Linked DNA regions of Danio rerio. The protein of the gene in region 2 purifies or fractionates together with the protein of the main gene of each other region. This does not show direct contact. Links are inferred from orthologs where the notes say so. Each region holds a gene or a part of one and is shown on either strand. Other genes may lie near its edges.

Evidence for each region. Proteins that work in one complex are often made in the same cells at the same time.
Region 1: the proteins of lin7c (region 2) and pals1a purify together in Homo sapiens (affinity purification with mass spectrometry; 3 studies listed by BioGRID and IntAct, counting the BioPlex papers as one, with this or other methods). This does not show direct contact. The link is inferred for Danio rerio from reciprocal best matches to the Homo sapiens genes LIN7C and PALS1.
Region 3: the proteins of lin7c (region 2) and dlg1b purify together in Homo sapiens (affinity purification with mass spectrometry; 4 studies listed by BioGRID and IntAct, counting the BioPlex papers as one, with this or other methods). This does not show direct contact. The link is inferred for Danio rerio from reciprocal best matches to the Homo sapiens genes LIN7C and DLG1.

The regions. Positions count from the first base shown.
Region 1 is NC_133192.1:35,894,071-35,898,923, forward strand, and holds the start of pals1a (protein PALS1), read left to right. Parts: upstream 1-1,553; 5' UTR 1,554-1,702; intron 1,703-4,853. UniProt on the Homo sapiens protein: Plays a role in tight junction biogenesis and in the establishment of cell polarity in epithelial cells.
Region 2 is NC_133182.1:31,951,623-31,956,010, forward strand, and holds part of lin7c (protein lin-7 homolog C), read right to left. Parts: intron 3,824-4,388; coding exon 3,614-3,823; intron 1,695-3,613; coding exon 1,527-1,694; 3' UTR 1-1,526. UniProt on the Homo sapiens protein: Plays a role in establishing and maintaining the asymmetric distribution of channels and receptors at the plasma membrane of polarized cells.
Region 3 is NC_133177.1:5,302,584-5,307,685, reverse strand, and holds the start of dlg1b (discs large homolog 1-like protein), read left to right. Parts: upstream 1-1,802; coding exon 1,803-1,904; intron 1,905-5,102. UniProt on the Homo sapiens protein: Essential multidomain scaffolding protein required for normal development. Recruits channels, receptors and signaling molecules to discrete plasma membrane domains in polarized cells.

The DNA.
Region 1 (4,853 bases), on a different chromosome or scaffold from region 2:
GCTTTTCTCAATATTAAGTGCACAAAGTTCATTCTTGCATCCTTTCCTTGTAAATTAAGACTTCGCAAATTTGAAAACAAACTCCTGAGGACTTGTCGGGTAAATCTTCAAAGAGAACAGTGTAGCTCTACTTTTTAACGTCATTCACATCACCCTGGCTATGTTGTTTCAATATCTTAACAATAAAGTGAAAATATGATATAAGGAACTGCCTATTTTTATTTTGGTATTAGCTAATTAACAGACACCAAAAATGTTGAGGCATCGTGTAGCTGGATATTTACAGTATATGATAATCGTCTTCACTGTATGCATAATTATAACATAATGAAGCCTATATTACTGCCTCCTTTCATTTTCAGTGAAAAATATGAAACACACCCTGTCTCTTTTGCTGAATATCAGTTTTGATAATCAATAATGGCCCCTATTAAAGTATAATACAATAAGTTTATACATTATAAAAAATAAAGGCAAGCAATCAGTCAAATGTGCAGAATCAGTTAACCTTCTTACATAAATTAATATATTAACTTATCTTTGCGCTCAGCCAAAACAAGTTACTATAGAACAAGAAATAGATTCAAAAGAAAGTCGGCGAATAGACAACAAGATTAATTAAATATCACGTTTAAAAAATATAGTGAAAGGAGTTCCAGCAGAAGATCCTTGATGAACTGTTCGATGTGCGCTGCTCTCACCTTGGGTTTTGTGCTCAAAGCACCCCCTGACTGCCTGGAGCTGGCATGTGCGCATATGCTGCAGCACATGCCAGAGTGTGTGTGTGGTCACGTGATGTGTGTTTTTAGTGGTATAGTGTGGATGGAGATCTGTTCAGAAACGCTAGGTGAAACACCAGTGTGGACATGGATCGTGTTTATTTTAAAACGCAGTTTTAAAGCTGAAACGTATTAGTGTAAACGGGGTTTTAGTCGCTGACATTATCTTTGGCAGATATGGTGCTAAAACCAGAATGACAGACAGCTGTTTCTTACTTAGAGCTGTCTATGCTAATGAGGGAGAGAACATCTCGTGTGTGTGTGTGTGTGTGTGTGTGTGTGTGTGTGGTTTTTATGAAATGGGATTATAAAAAAAAAAACTGTTTATTTTTAACATTAGAGGCTGGCTATATAATTCACACATCGTTGCCATACAACTGTCATTTAACACCTTATAAAATAATTTTTGCACAATAGGTCCACTTAAACATATTTTAAAGATTGTTAAAAACTAAAAGACACTTCCATGTCTCCATATTCGCCGTACATCTTACTAAATATCATGAGAAAATACACTTTGTCCAATTAGTTTGACTGTTATTACAATTGTGTATTTACAATACTTACAAGTACCTAATCAGAACAAGCACCCAAAATTCCAATCCTTTAATTCTGCTCGATCGAAACTGACCGGCTTGTCGTTCAGTCGACACTGTGAAGAAAAAACCCTTCTGATTGGACTACGGAGTTTAAGCGTGGAGGATCTTTCCAATCAGAAGCGTCGTCTCATAGGGTTGCCGGAGGCGCTGTTGAGCCACTCTCAGTCAGTCAGTCAGTCAGTCCCGAGCCTGAAACAGTCGAGCCGTAGCGACCCGTCACATAACATGACAACAATATAACGTGCCATTCTGTGAACAAAACCGCCTGTTTGGAAGTATTTATACGCTTAGTGGACATAAAGGACGGCATATGTGACTACAGAGGTAAGCTAAGCCACTCTTTCAAGTTGTTTTGGCCCTTAAAACGCGGCGTCAGTGTTGTTTGCAACAGGTTGCCTGGGAAAGAAAGCAAGGCTGCACTTCGGGAAGTGGCCAGCTAGCTGTGTTAGCTATGCAAATACTCAGCAAAACATTAAAGCACGCACTCATTTGTCTTAAATGAAGCTCTATAAACATTCAAGGGACTGTTTATAAGATGTATAAGTACTGCGTTTCGCTGTTGGTTTAGTTTACTAGGAATATCAAGCTCAAATAGCTCACGTTACAGTCTCAAAGCCTAATGAGTCGCCTACCTAGGGAGCATTTTTAGGCATCATTAGTGCGTCCAGTGTCCGAAAAGTGGCAGCTCACCAGGTCTTGAGACTATAAACCTGTGGTTTTGTATTAAGTAACTGAAAATGAAACAAAGGGTTTAAAATGGCAAAGTTGTGGATTCATTCACCTCCCTATACACAACCTGTTGAAACTGCGTGGAAGTTTCTTTAATCGATAGGTTACACGGACTGCCATGGTTTATCTACCTTCAATACAGCCATTAGGACACAAGTGTCGCATTGTTCCCTTCGCATTGGTTCAGAAATCTGATAGGGCTTCCTTTTTTATATTGTCTGTGGAATGATTACTGGAATACTGTGGATCAAACCTGACATGGAAAGGGCGTTATCGTTTTATTTTATGACTGGGAACTGCAGGTGTGTGTGTGTGTGCGTGTGTGTGTGTGTGTGTGTGTGTGTGTGTGTGTGTCAGACACCTTTATGATATAATTCTACAGTTCTGAGTTAATCATTCTGTGTTATTCATTGATTTAAAATGTAGTTATTTATTAAATTGGTCACTCAGACAGATCTGTTTACTAGACACGTTAAAGTGTTTATGTGCTTATAAAACTTGTGTTAAGTGTTCAGGTTTATTTTATCAACCTCTCTTTATACTGAAAGGCGTCTGACAGTTTGATGTGCTAGTAAAACTTGGGAATTTTGGGGAGTTTTTCTGTGTTGTAGAACTTTTCTCGTGTTGTAAATCAACTTACAGATATATTTCTGTAAAATATATACAATTACAGATATATTTCTGTGCATGCAAAACCCATCGAATTATAGTATACTTTTGTGAAGTTTTTGTTATTTGTAGTTATGCACTGGATGCTTGGTTTTTATTTTATTTTTAGTATAAATTGAAATCGCCCCAATGGTGTTTTAAATGACCTGAAAAGTATATGAATGACCAATATTAGTCTGAAAATAGGTCCAGCAGCAGCTACAGAGGAAAATATTTTTGGGGGGGAAACCTGGAAAAACAAAACTAATAAAATAAAGATTATCATTAAATGAAATGTTAATATTGAATGTTATTATAAAATATAAATTATTCTTAAATGACAAGAATTAAGTATTTTATTAAGATTAGCACAATAATATAAACAAACAGAATTAAAATAATATATATTTTTACAATTCAGTATTTAGGTTAGTACTTAACCTTAAAAAAACACATCTGGGAAAAATGACCCCTAAGTTTGAGTAAAAAAAAATGATTTAAACAAAAATTTAAGATGATGAATAATCTGTTATTTGTGATTTTAAAATTAGAATAGAATGAATAATAATAACAAATATTAAAATGAAGAGTAAATTAATAATATAAGCAATAAGGTTGAAGTAAACTCAATAGTAGCTTAATATTTTTTTCACATAGAACTTTGATTTGTAATATAGATCATTTCTCTGTATGAGGTCTTTTTTGACTATGGAAAAACTATAATGGCCTATTATGTTTTTTAGGTTGAGTTTTTCATAACAGGAATATTTTTAAAAACAATATAGCGTTGAAGTCAGAATAGGCCCCTAATTATTAGCCCCCTTTGAATTTTTTCTTTTTTTTCTTTTTAAATATTTCTAGAGCAAGGACATTTATCTGTTAATCTTTATCTGTCTGTTAATATGTTTTCTTCTAAAGAAAGCCTTAATTGTTTTAATTCGGCTAGAATAAAAGCAGTTTCTTAATTTTTTAAAAACCCTTTTAAGGTCAAATTTATTAGCCCCTTTAAGCTACATATATATATTTTTTTGATAGTCTACAGAACAAACCATCATTATACAATAACTTGCCTAATTATCCTATCCTGCCTAGTTACCCTAATTAACCTAGTTAAGCTTTTAAATGTCAATAGAAGTGTCTTGAACAATATCTAGTCAAATATTATTTACTGTCATCATGACAAATATAAAATAAATCAGTTATTAGAAATGAGTTATTAAAACTATTGTTAAAAATGTGTTTAAAAATCTCTGTTAACCAGAAATTGGGGGAAAATAATACACAGAGGGTCTAATGGTTCAGATTTCAACTTTATATGTTGTTGTTTTCTTATTTATAATAAATGAAATCAATAAAAGAGTTTGTAATGTTAAAGTCTATCAAGGTGTGATACTTGACCCTTAGACTTTATAAGTGAGTTTTTGGTGCTTCTCTGTCAAACAAAATCTTTGTAGATGTTGCTTTTTATATATAACCAAGTCTCAAAAGAACATTCCTACCAAGGCAGCATTGGTTGTGATTCATGTCTTCAATCCATTATTAAGAACACAATTGATAATCTTATCATTTCCTCAGATCACAAGCTGCATGTCAGCTGGCTGCTCTGTGTTTTTTAAAGATAAGTCTTCCCTCTGCACACTGTGATATAAATCAGCTCAGAGCTGGCTGTAAGTAACCTGTATCAGCACCACCACACAGATAACCTTTTCTATACTCTTGATGCATGTACTAAGCCAAACATCTTTTTTTAATAAAATGATTCAGCACTGTTGATGATGATAATAATAGGTTATTTATGTCAGTTTCGTTTGTGTGGCGCAGGTGTGGAGTTACTGCACAAATAAATGATGCTATAACAGATGATAGAGGATTTTGGCTCTGGATCAGATGGGTTTCTTTCAAGGAGACAGTATCTGTTTTCAGAGTAGAGTGAGAGGTGTTAATGCCAGCATACTCTAGAATCATATTACTTCACCGCCACGTTCCTTCGGAGTCTGGCCTGGCAGCCTAATGAAAACCGTTGGCCTGTCTGATGGATATATTGTAGAATAGAGTGTAGTGTAACTCCCACATATTTAAATGATAAAGTAATAATATT
Region 2 (4,388 bases):
AAAAAAAAATAAAAATCACTCGAGCTTAATTTAGACATGTCTCATAGAATGAATATGTGTGACATTCATTTATGCATTCATTGCTGTTTTGCTAGCAATACGCTGAGCTGCTACCTCGTGATGCACTAATATAACCGTTTAAGAAAATTGATTCTGAACCATGACGATGCAGGTTTATACAATAATCAGCAAAAACTGGGTGAATCATATGGACCCAGAGCTGAAAGGCAAGTGCCACATTATCATTCAGAACTAATGAAACTAACCTCCCCTACAATCTTAACTTAGTGTGTCTGCTGAAGTGTTTAAAATAAAAACGCTTTACTTCTACAAATTAAAAACTAGACGCGTGCTTGACGAAGAGCTAGTGACTGCTTCATTCCGTTTCTGTGTTTTAAGGGGTATAAGCTACAAAAATGTTACATTTTCATTCATTTTTCTGTTTATCCAACACCCAAACAGCGCCACAAGCATCTCCTCAGAACTGCTTTCCGGTTCAACGATTTATAAACATTCCATTCACGTATTTTCAATCAAAAGCAGACTGTTGAAATGGCGTAATCGTGACCGTATGTAACATGCTTTATGCCTCCAAATGAATCTAAACACACAGCCGACTGCCTCATTCTTCTCTATTCTTGTTGACAAAAGCTGATTTGTTTACTCCACAGAGCTGATACACCAATTACTGTAGATCACAGTGTTTTTCATCTGTAAATTCATTAAATGTAAAAAAAAAAAAAAAAAAAGAAACAGTGTCAGTTTTTAACAGCTACACTGTTTGTTTCAGCATTTCCTTGTGTTTGAAGCAAACAGCAGTTCTGAAAAGATGCTCATATCACCGATTTGCCATTTATCTATCTCTCCAAACACGTACGTTATGTATTTCTAGTTAACTTTTCCTTCTATCTTAGTGAAAGAGTGAGAAAAGTTGACTGGAAATGAGTATATCATAACCCCTTTTCTTAATTATACACCATTCTTTCGAATTTCTGTTAAACGTTTGCACTCAATTACATTTCGGTTGAGCTAGTGTTTACTCGTTTTGTGCATGGACCATAAAACACAGCCTACGATGGGACACACTGAAGGCTGCAGCTGCAATTATTTTTTTTTAAAAGCTCTTGAGGCACTTTTTTAGACATTTTCATTCAGATCACCTCAGGAGTTGAACATTGCAATGGTCCCCTTGCATATCTAACAAATCAACATCCCAAATGACAGTACATTCTTAGTAACGCACCATTACAGTGCACGTATGTGATGTCTACGTGAAAACATCCAGAGCCCGTTTCGTAGTGTTCATGCTATGAGAAAGAGGCGTGTGAAAACACTGTTAAAAAACCGTTGAGGAGGTGAGGATTTAGAAAATTTCACAAAAAGGAGAGCCAAACATGTGGCTAATCCCTGGCTGGAGAAAGGGGGTGAGAGAGCGTGGACAAAGAAGACAGATGGCAGAAGATATACAGACAAATAGAAAAAGACAGAAAGAGAGAGTTTGGGGGGGGGGGGCACAGATGAGACCCCTACTTGGGGAAGTTGTTCTGTTGCCGGCGTTTGGCAGACCTCAACTTCTCAAAGCGCGACTCCATCTCTTCCAGGACTTTAGGGGTGTACCGTACCACCAGTTTCACTGTGCCCTGAGCAGCCTTCAACAGCTCCACAGCTTTCTCGTGGTGCTCTCCTTCTACACTCTGAAAGACAAGGAGTTCTTTTTCTATTGGATCAACATTTTTATTTTTTAAATGCCTATATTGGTGTGACATAACTTATAAATGAGTTCAGTTTTTTTTAATAATCTGAAACGTGCTGTGACTTGTATTTTAAAGCAGTTTACATAATGCAGTTTACGTCAATCTGAGTGGGTGCAAAGTGTCCACATTTCGATTTGTATAGCTTTCACTTTATTTATTCACTTTATCCCTTGGTCAAACTTTATTTTGATGGTCTGTTGGTTGAATTTAAATTACATAGCAACTACAAGCCAACCATAGATATATACACTAGTTATCGCATAGGGACCCCGAGCATGCGTCAATAGCGCCGCCATATTTGTAGTGCTCCCAGGACAAGTGTCATTCAACCGCACTAGTCAAGACAGTGTTACTACGTGAAGATGCGGGACTTTAGCGCTGTCTACGGGTGTAGTAACAAAACAAAGAAAACAAAGCACAAAGGCAGAACATTTCATAGGTAAGATTCAGGTTTTTTTACGTTTTGGTATATTATGAACTTTTGTGCTAAACGGGTAGCGTTATTGATAATAATACTGTCTCTTACTGCATTCACCAAAAGGCAAAGCAGCAGCAACTCACACCTAACACTCGGCTTATGCAACTTTTGTTGAATAAAATCAGCAAACAATGCAAAAGATATATGAAAACGAGATGCTGGAAACTTGTATTATTGTCCGTTAAGTGAAGGAGTCGTTCATTCACAAATGAATCTCCCCCTCCGTCAGTATGAAAAGTGAAAGCAGGTGAGGAGGTGTGTTTCAGGACACGGATTTGATCAAATTTAACAGGGAGTATGGATAGTACATTTCCATACAAACAAACACAAGCTTTTTGTCAGAAATGCCTGTGCGATCACTGATCCATCAATATAGAAAAGTGATGTAAAATTATAATTTTCATAATTTAAAAAAGAAAATTGCATACTGACCTCCGGGAAAACTCCCGACCATAGATATTTGTGTATGTGTGTAATTCTCTGGCTCTGGATGGCCACAGTCCTCCATAGCAGCTTGGTCCCACATTTATTTAAAAGGAGCGCTACCCTGTACTAAAATGGCGGCTCAATTGACCCATTCCTTCTAATAGACAACAACAGGGTAGGTGACATCTAATGTATATATCTATGCATGCCAACTGATTCTCATTAGATTAGAAGCAAACTGTTAGGTTGGGGGTAGGGTTAGTGTAAGGTGACATGTACTTGCAAAGTTTCACATAGTAAGTTAAATGTCTGTTGAAGGAGCAATATCAACATATGAAGCAGACAATCTACTAACACTCAATAGGACCATCATCGAAAATAAAGGTTGACCAATAACTTTGTTTAAATTACATTTCTGACACCATTTATTTAAATGAGCATTTTGTTTTGATGAATAAAAAGGTCAACCAGTCAAACATTTTACATAGTGAATGCCACCACAACTTCTTTATTTTATAGGCATTTGCTCTTTTCTGTTCTGAATACTGTTATATTTAAAGGGTTTGTTAAGAAGTGAAGAGAACCAAATCCATTTTCATTGTGTGTAAATGTTGTTTATGTTAAATTCCTTAGGAGCGTATAAAAATGGTATTTAGACAGCTATGTGTAACATAATAAGGTGTAAAGTATTTTCTTGAAAAAAAAAAAATTTCACATAATTTAGTCTAACTTATATCACACCAATCCGGTTTATGTAAATTCCCTTTTTACAATAATTATTTTTAATTCTCAATTTGTTTTAAATTTTCTCAATTTTTTTCTCAAACAAAAAAAGCAAAATGAGGAAGTGCAGTACAGAATTTATTAATCTGTAATTAAATAAATAAGTGTATTCTGCACCTGTGAATTCAGATAAAAAGTTAATGTCAAGCATTTTGATCTGTTGTGTACATACCACTCCATTCACAGATAGCAGCTGGTCTCCTCTCTTCAGGCCACCGTGTCGATCAGCGATGCCTCCAGGAATGATGCGGGAGATGTAGATGGGAGAGTTTTGTTCCTTCCCACCCATTATGTTGAACCCCAGTCCCTCCTCTGTTTTTGGGAGCTCCACCACACGTGGGTGAGAATGGCCCTCACTAGCTGCAAACGCAGCCACTGTAGCCTGTAGAAAAAGAAATCAACCACTTATGGATAACAAAAAAACTACTTCTGCAAGGGATAGACATACCAAAACACACTATATTTGTTATATATAAATGTGTCACAGCTCCTTAAAACATAAAGCTAAATTTAGGATTTCAACTTTATTGACAGCATGAAATCATATTAAATTGGATTCTGAAGAATCAGGTCACAGTAAAGCGTCTTTTTCTGGTTCACAATAATAGGAATAACAAGAAAAAAATCATTTTGATTTCTAACAACAGCTTATAACTGTTTATACTGCAAGCTGGTTTGGTGAACAGACATTAAAAAAGAATACATATGTCTTCTAAATAAAAGGAGAAAATAACAACCTCCCTCAAATAAGTTGCTGATGTAATTTAGGCCATCAGTCTTGTGCAAAAGAAGGCATTACAATCAAGCTAAGCCAATCAGATAATCAGATTGACTTCCCTGTCTGTTAAGGTACAAGCTAAAATGGTTCACAGAATTTAATTCTAGTGAAGAAAGATGGCATCTTTGATGGCAAATACTTAAGAAATTTCATCTGCACAACCTCAATA
Region 3 (5,102 bases), on a different chromosome or scaffold from region 2:
AATATATTACTGGAGTGCGCCTGGAGACAAAAAAATGACACTGACAGATTTTAAGACATCTCTCTGAAAGTTATTTTGAGTTGAGACAGCTCAAACATGCAATTTAATCTCGACTAGCCTTAAACCTTGTTTGTGAAACTGACTCTATTCCCTTCTCAGATTCATGACTCTGTGACGTTCATTGAGAAATTGTTGCCACAAAAATAGTATTCTAAAGTAAGACCAACTATATTTATATGTCCGTGCAGTCGTGTCATGAGCGTTTTCGTGATGCTTCATACGAGCATTCGGATGATCCTTGAATGGACTTAGCCAGTGTTAGTCGTGTTGCACGCTGAGTGACGCATACATTACGAGAACGGCAGGATCTGAGTCACACTTTGGACAGTGAGGCACACTGACAACCCAAGTATTGTACGTAAAATAGGGGTAATTGACGTTAGTAGTACTACTGGCTCAGAGTCTTTGACTTTTGCACGTTATGTAGGTCAGCATGAGAGAAGTAACTAAAATGTCCAAAATGTTTAATATTAAATGGCCTTGAGGATTGCCTCACTGGCAGAATATAGCAGATGCATGTGCACGCTGTGCGAGAACAGGATCTTATTAGCGGTGAGGATTAGATTAGCGAGTATGGCAGCATTTTGCCACATCCCTCTTAGCTTGACTGCTGATTTAAAAATTTCCTAAAGCAAAGTCACGGCAGAGATCTTTGTCATTGCCGACCCTCCCCCAACATCACTGCCCCTTAAAAGCCAGTGACCCGAGCGGTTTGTCCTATGTGACCATTTCATGGTCGGCCTAATCAAATCAGAAGTAATGGAGAAATTAAGCTTAAGCATCTTTCTGCCAGCTCACTCTCTCCACCGTAGGGATCCCATCAAGAAATGGAGCCATTCTCAGAAGGTCACATCCACTGTCCAGTCAGCTGCCAATGACATTCCGTCATCTTATTGGCCAGGCTCGACGCTCCCCTCCCCCTTTTCTCTCCACTGTGCAAACGTGCTGTAAGTCACTCCAACATCGCTCCTCCTCCTGCATGCGAGGCTGTGCTCCCTGAGGATGTTCATTTGCTGCTCCTCTCCATCTCACTGTTACTGCCTTGGCTTTTTATTTTTTTGCCTTCCCCTCAATGTATTGGGTGACGTAGAGCACCCACGCCGAGGATGAGACAGAGAGAGAGACTCAACCCAACTCGACGTCCATGTGACAAACCCCACGCGCTGCAACAGCTTTATCCCTCCCTCCCTCCCCTCACAGCTCTCCTCCTCTTCCCGCGTTCTCCTCACAACTCGCTGCGTTGTTCAAACTGTGGCATTCTTCACCTTCCCTTTTGGGGGAACGCAGCAGTTGTGTGGTGTCTTCTTGGCGATGACCAAAAGGTCCCGAAAGCTGTTCCTTCACGGATGCATGCACTCGGCATGAGGCCTCCGTGCAAACATCTCCACCGTGACTCACAGCTGTGAAAGGTGGAGGGACGGATCTCGCAAGCCAGTGAAGCAGAAGACGAAAGGCTCTGAGGAAGACCGGAGCAGCGGTGAAGGAGAAGGGGGCGTGTGGACAAACTCGCTGGATGAAGGAAGCAGACTGGCTGTCCCTTCCCTGGCGTGATGGAGTGAGACGAGGAATGAGGGTGGATGGTGAGAGCGGGCAGCAGCAGCAGCAGTGGAGGGGCAGGAGGAGGAGGAGGTGGTGGTGGAGGAGCAGGAGGTGGCCGGAGAGGCAGGAGCAAGTATCGCTCGCGCCGGCGAGTCTCCGGCTCTTCGCTGGCTGATCGGCTCAGCTGCCACAGCGGCGAGAAAATGTCTCCCAGCATCAAGAAGTTGGACTGCTTCTCGCCCATGCTGTGCCACTGCAAAGTGGCCTGCACCAACAGCACCATCTCACTCATGTTCGGATGCAAGGTGGGTGGTGGAGCTGCTTCTCAGGTTCGCTTAATTCACAGGACAGGACAGTCTGTGAGAGTCTGTCCAGCTTTACATCAAGGTGTAGCCAAGAGTGGCAGCCAAAATGCTTGGTACTGCTGCCAGTTGGAACTCCCGAGGCACATGCAATCAACTTGATGAGATAAGAGTTCTCTTCGAGATCTAGCAGACTTCAGAAGTAGACTTATTCTTGCAGAGAGATCTGGCATAACACGTTCATGGACTGAATTTCTTTTAAGGCACACATAATTGAAAAGTTGATGAGATGAGAGGAGTTGTCTTCTAGATGTAAGAGAGTTGGCGTACAGCAGATTTATTGCCTTTTAGTCTCTTCTTAAACAATTTATGTTAGGTTAGGACAGCTAGGTTCTTTCTTTTAGGCTTTTAATTGTTTGTGTTTGTCTAAATGTATAGGATGATCAAGTGTTGAAATATAAGTAGGCCAGATTTGGCTCCCATGAACTAATAGCTCGTCTTTCTTTAGACAATTTAAGGGGTGTAGGGAACGGTGTGCTAATTAGGTTCTTTCATTTAGGTTTTTTTCTCGTTTGTGTTTGACTAAATGTATAGGACAGGGCTATTCAATTAGTTTGTCACGGGGGCCGGTTCATGAAAAGCATCCCAAATGAAGGGCCGGAGAGATATGACTTGCTTTATGAGTGATAACACAACTGCATATAAGAGCCCATATGCTGTTTATTTTCTCCTTAAGACACCCACGTTGGCTTTTTCTACATTAAAATATGAATATGTTGTATTTTGAAACTACATAATATCAGTGCACTGTACAATAGACTTTTCTTGTTTACAAACATGTTCAAATGTTGTATATCAGAGCACAGCAAAAGCAGTGCATTGCTCAAGTAGGCTTTTTCTACTTTAAGACACATTCATGTTTTATTTTTTTAAACTGCATCACAATTATGGTTGTACGATTATATAGTCTAAAGAATAATCATGGGTTCACGGTTATCACGTCTAATGTAAATTCAAGCTTTATATGAGGTAAGTAGCTATTTAGAATAACTGTTGTTGCAACACTATCTCACGGCAATTCGTAACTTTTTCATTTAGTGGCTAATTCGTATGAATTCATCCTTTCTAATTCGTACAATTTAGTACGATTTGCTTATCCCCCAATGACGGTTGGGGTTAGGGGTGGGGTTAGGTGCCACGCCTCCTTTTTAAGATCGTACCATTTCATACGACTGAACTCGTACGAATTCGTACGAATTAGCCACTAAACTGGGAAAACGTAAAATACTTACGTTTTCTCATGAGATCAGGCTCGTTGTTGCCTTCTGCGTTCATACATACAGCACAATCATTTTAATAATAACTCGTCTAACATATATGTTGTTAACATTGCACTGAAAGGCACGCACAACTCTCACCGTAAGATGTTTTCTACTGTGTGCACCCAGAAAGACGCAAGTGTGTTGCTGCGCTTGTGCGCACATATTGTCATATATTATTACATTAAAAATAACAAACTTGCAAGCTGAAAAGACTTGTTATGGGACTGGCCACTGCTATAGTTAATCCGGTGAGTGCGTATTAGCCTCGGTGTACATACATGGAACTTTAAACTAGTGCACAGTTGACAACTTGACATAACTTGGTTTAGTTGCAGCAGTTTCGTTTCGTTCCATGCAACAGAAATGCGGCGTTGACAAGCCTTTACGATTAATTAACTGTGACGAATTCAAGTGCAGTTAATAGTGAAATCGGCTAATCATTGCATCCTGCTTGCCCCACTTGCTTGGCGCACGTCACTTCATAACTATAGCGTCATTTTTCGAATTAACTACATTTATTTTTCATGTCTTATTTGCACTATTTGGAGGGCCAGAATAAATTGCCTCGGTGGCCAGGTTCGGCCCACGGGCTGCCAATTGAATAGCCCTGGTATAGGATGATCAAGTGTAGAAGTATAAGTAGGATCAGGGCATGACCCAGGCCAGACTTGGTTCCCATAAACTAATAGCTTGTCTTTCTTTAGACAATTTAAGGGGTATAGGGGAAGGTGTGTTAATCAAGTTCTTTCTTTTAGGCTTTTTCTTGTTTGTGTTTGACTAAATGGATAGGGTGGTCAAGTGTAGAAAGGTAAGTAGGATCAGGGCATGGCCCAGGCCAGAATTGGTTCCCATGAACCAACAGCTTGTCTTTCTCTAGACAATTTAAGGGCTATTGGGGAACATATCGTCAGATAGATAAGGTTCTATCTGCATTCTGAATGATTTTGAGATATTGAGCATCAAAGTTTTTGCATTCCATAGCAAACAGTATGTGTGTAACATTTTTTTTGTAAATAAAAAGTCTTAAAATGTAAACAACTTATAAAAAAACATCCCATAATGTAAATAAGTCATTGTCATTTAATAAGAATATGTTAATAACACAATTTTGACAAAAATGTCAGATGGAACTATATAATTCTAAGGTGACGATATGCTAATTAAGTTCTTTCTTTTGGGCGTTTACTTACTGTGTGTGTCTGTGTGTGTCTGTGTGTGTCTGTGTGTGTCTGTGTGTGTCTGTGTGTGTCTGTGTGTGTCTGTGTGTGTCTGTGTGTGTCTCTGTGTGTGTCTGTGTCTATGTCTGTGTGTGTGTGTGTGTGTGTGTGTGTGTGCGTGTGCGTGTGCGTGTGCGTGCGTCTAGATGTTTAGGTTGATCAAGTGTAGAAAGGTAAGTAGGATCAGGGCATGACCCAGGTCAGAACCAACATGAACCAACCATGAACCAACAGCTCTCAAATGTACCCAATGCACTACCATAACTCATAATAATATGAGCTCATAAAAGCTAATTACGGTCACACTTTACCATCATGTATTTACAAACATGAACTCATGATAACAATACATGTACAGCATTTTTGAAAGTTTTTTATAATTTATTTTTTAAGTTACTATAATTTTACATTTTTTAAGTTACTATAGTTAATCATTTGTCGCATTCATTGACTTTAACATTAACACAGATAAATAAATACTGTAATGTTCATTGTTTGTTCATGTTGTACAACTTCATTCCGAAGTCTTACCCTAATTGTTAAACAATTATTATTTTTAATAGTTCTAGATCAGATTCACTATATCAAAGCATGTCAAAACTTTCCAAAGATATTCTGTGAAAACTTCTTAACAACTGTAGAAGTGGCTGCTGGTTTTAATG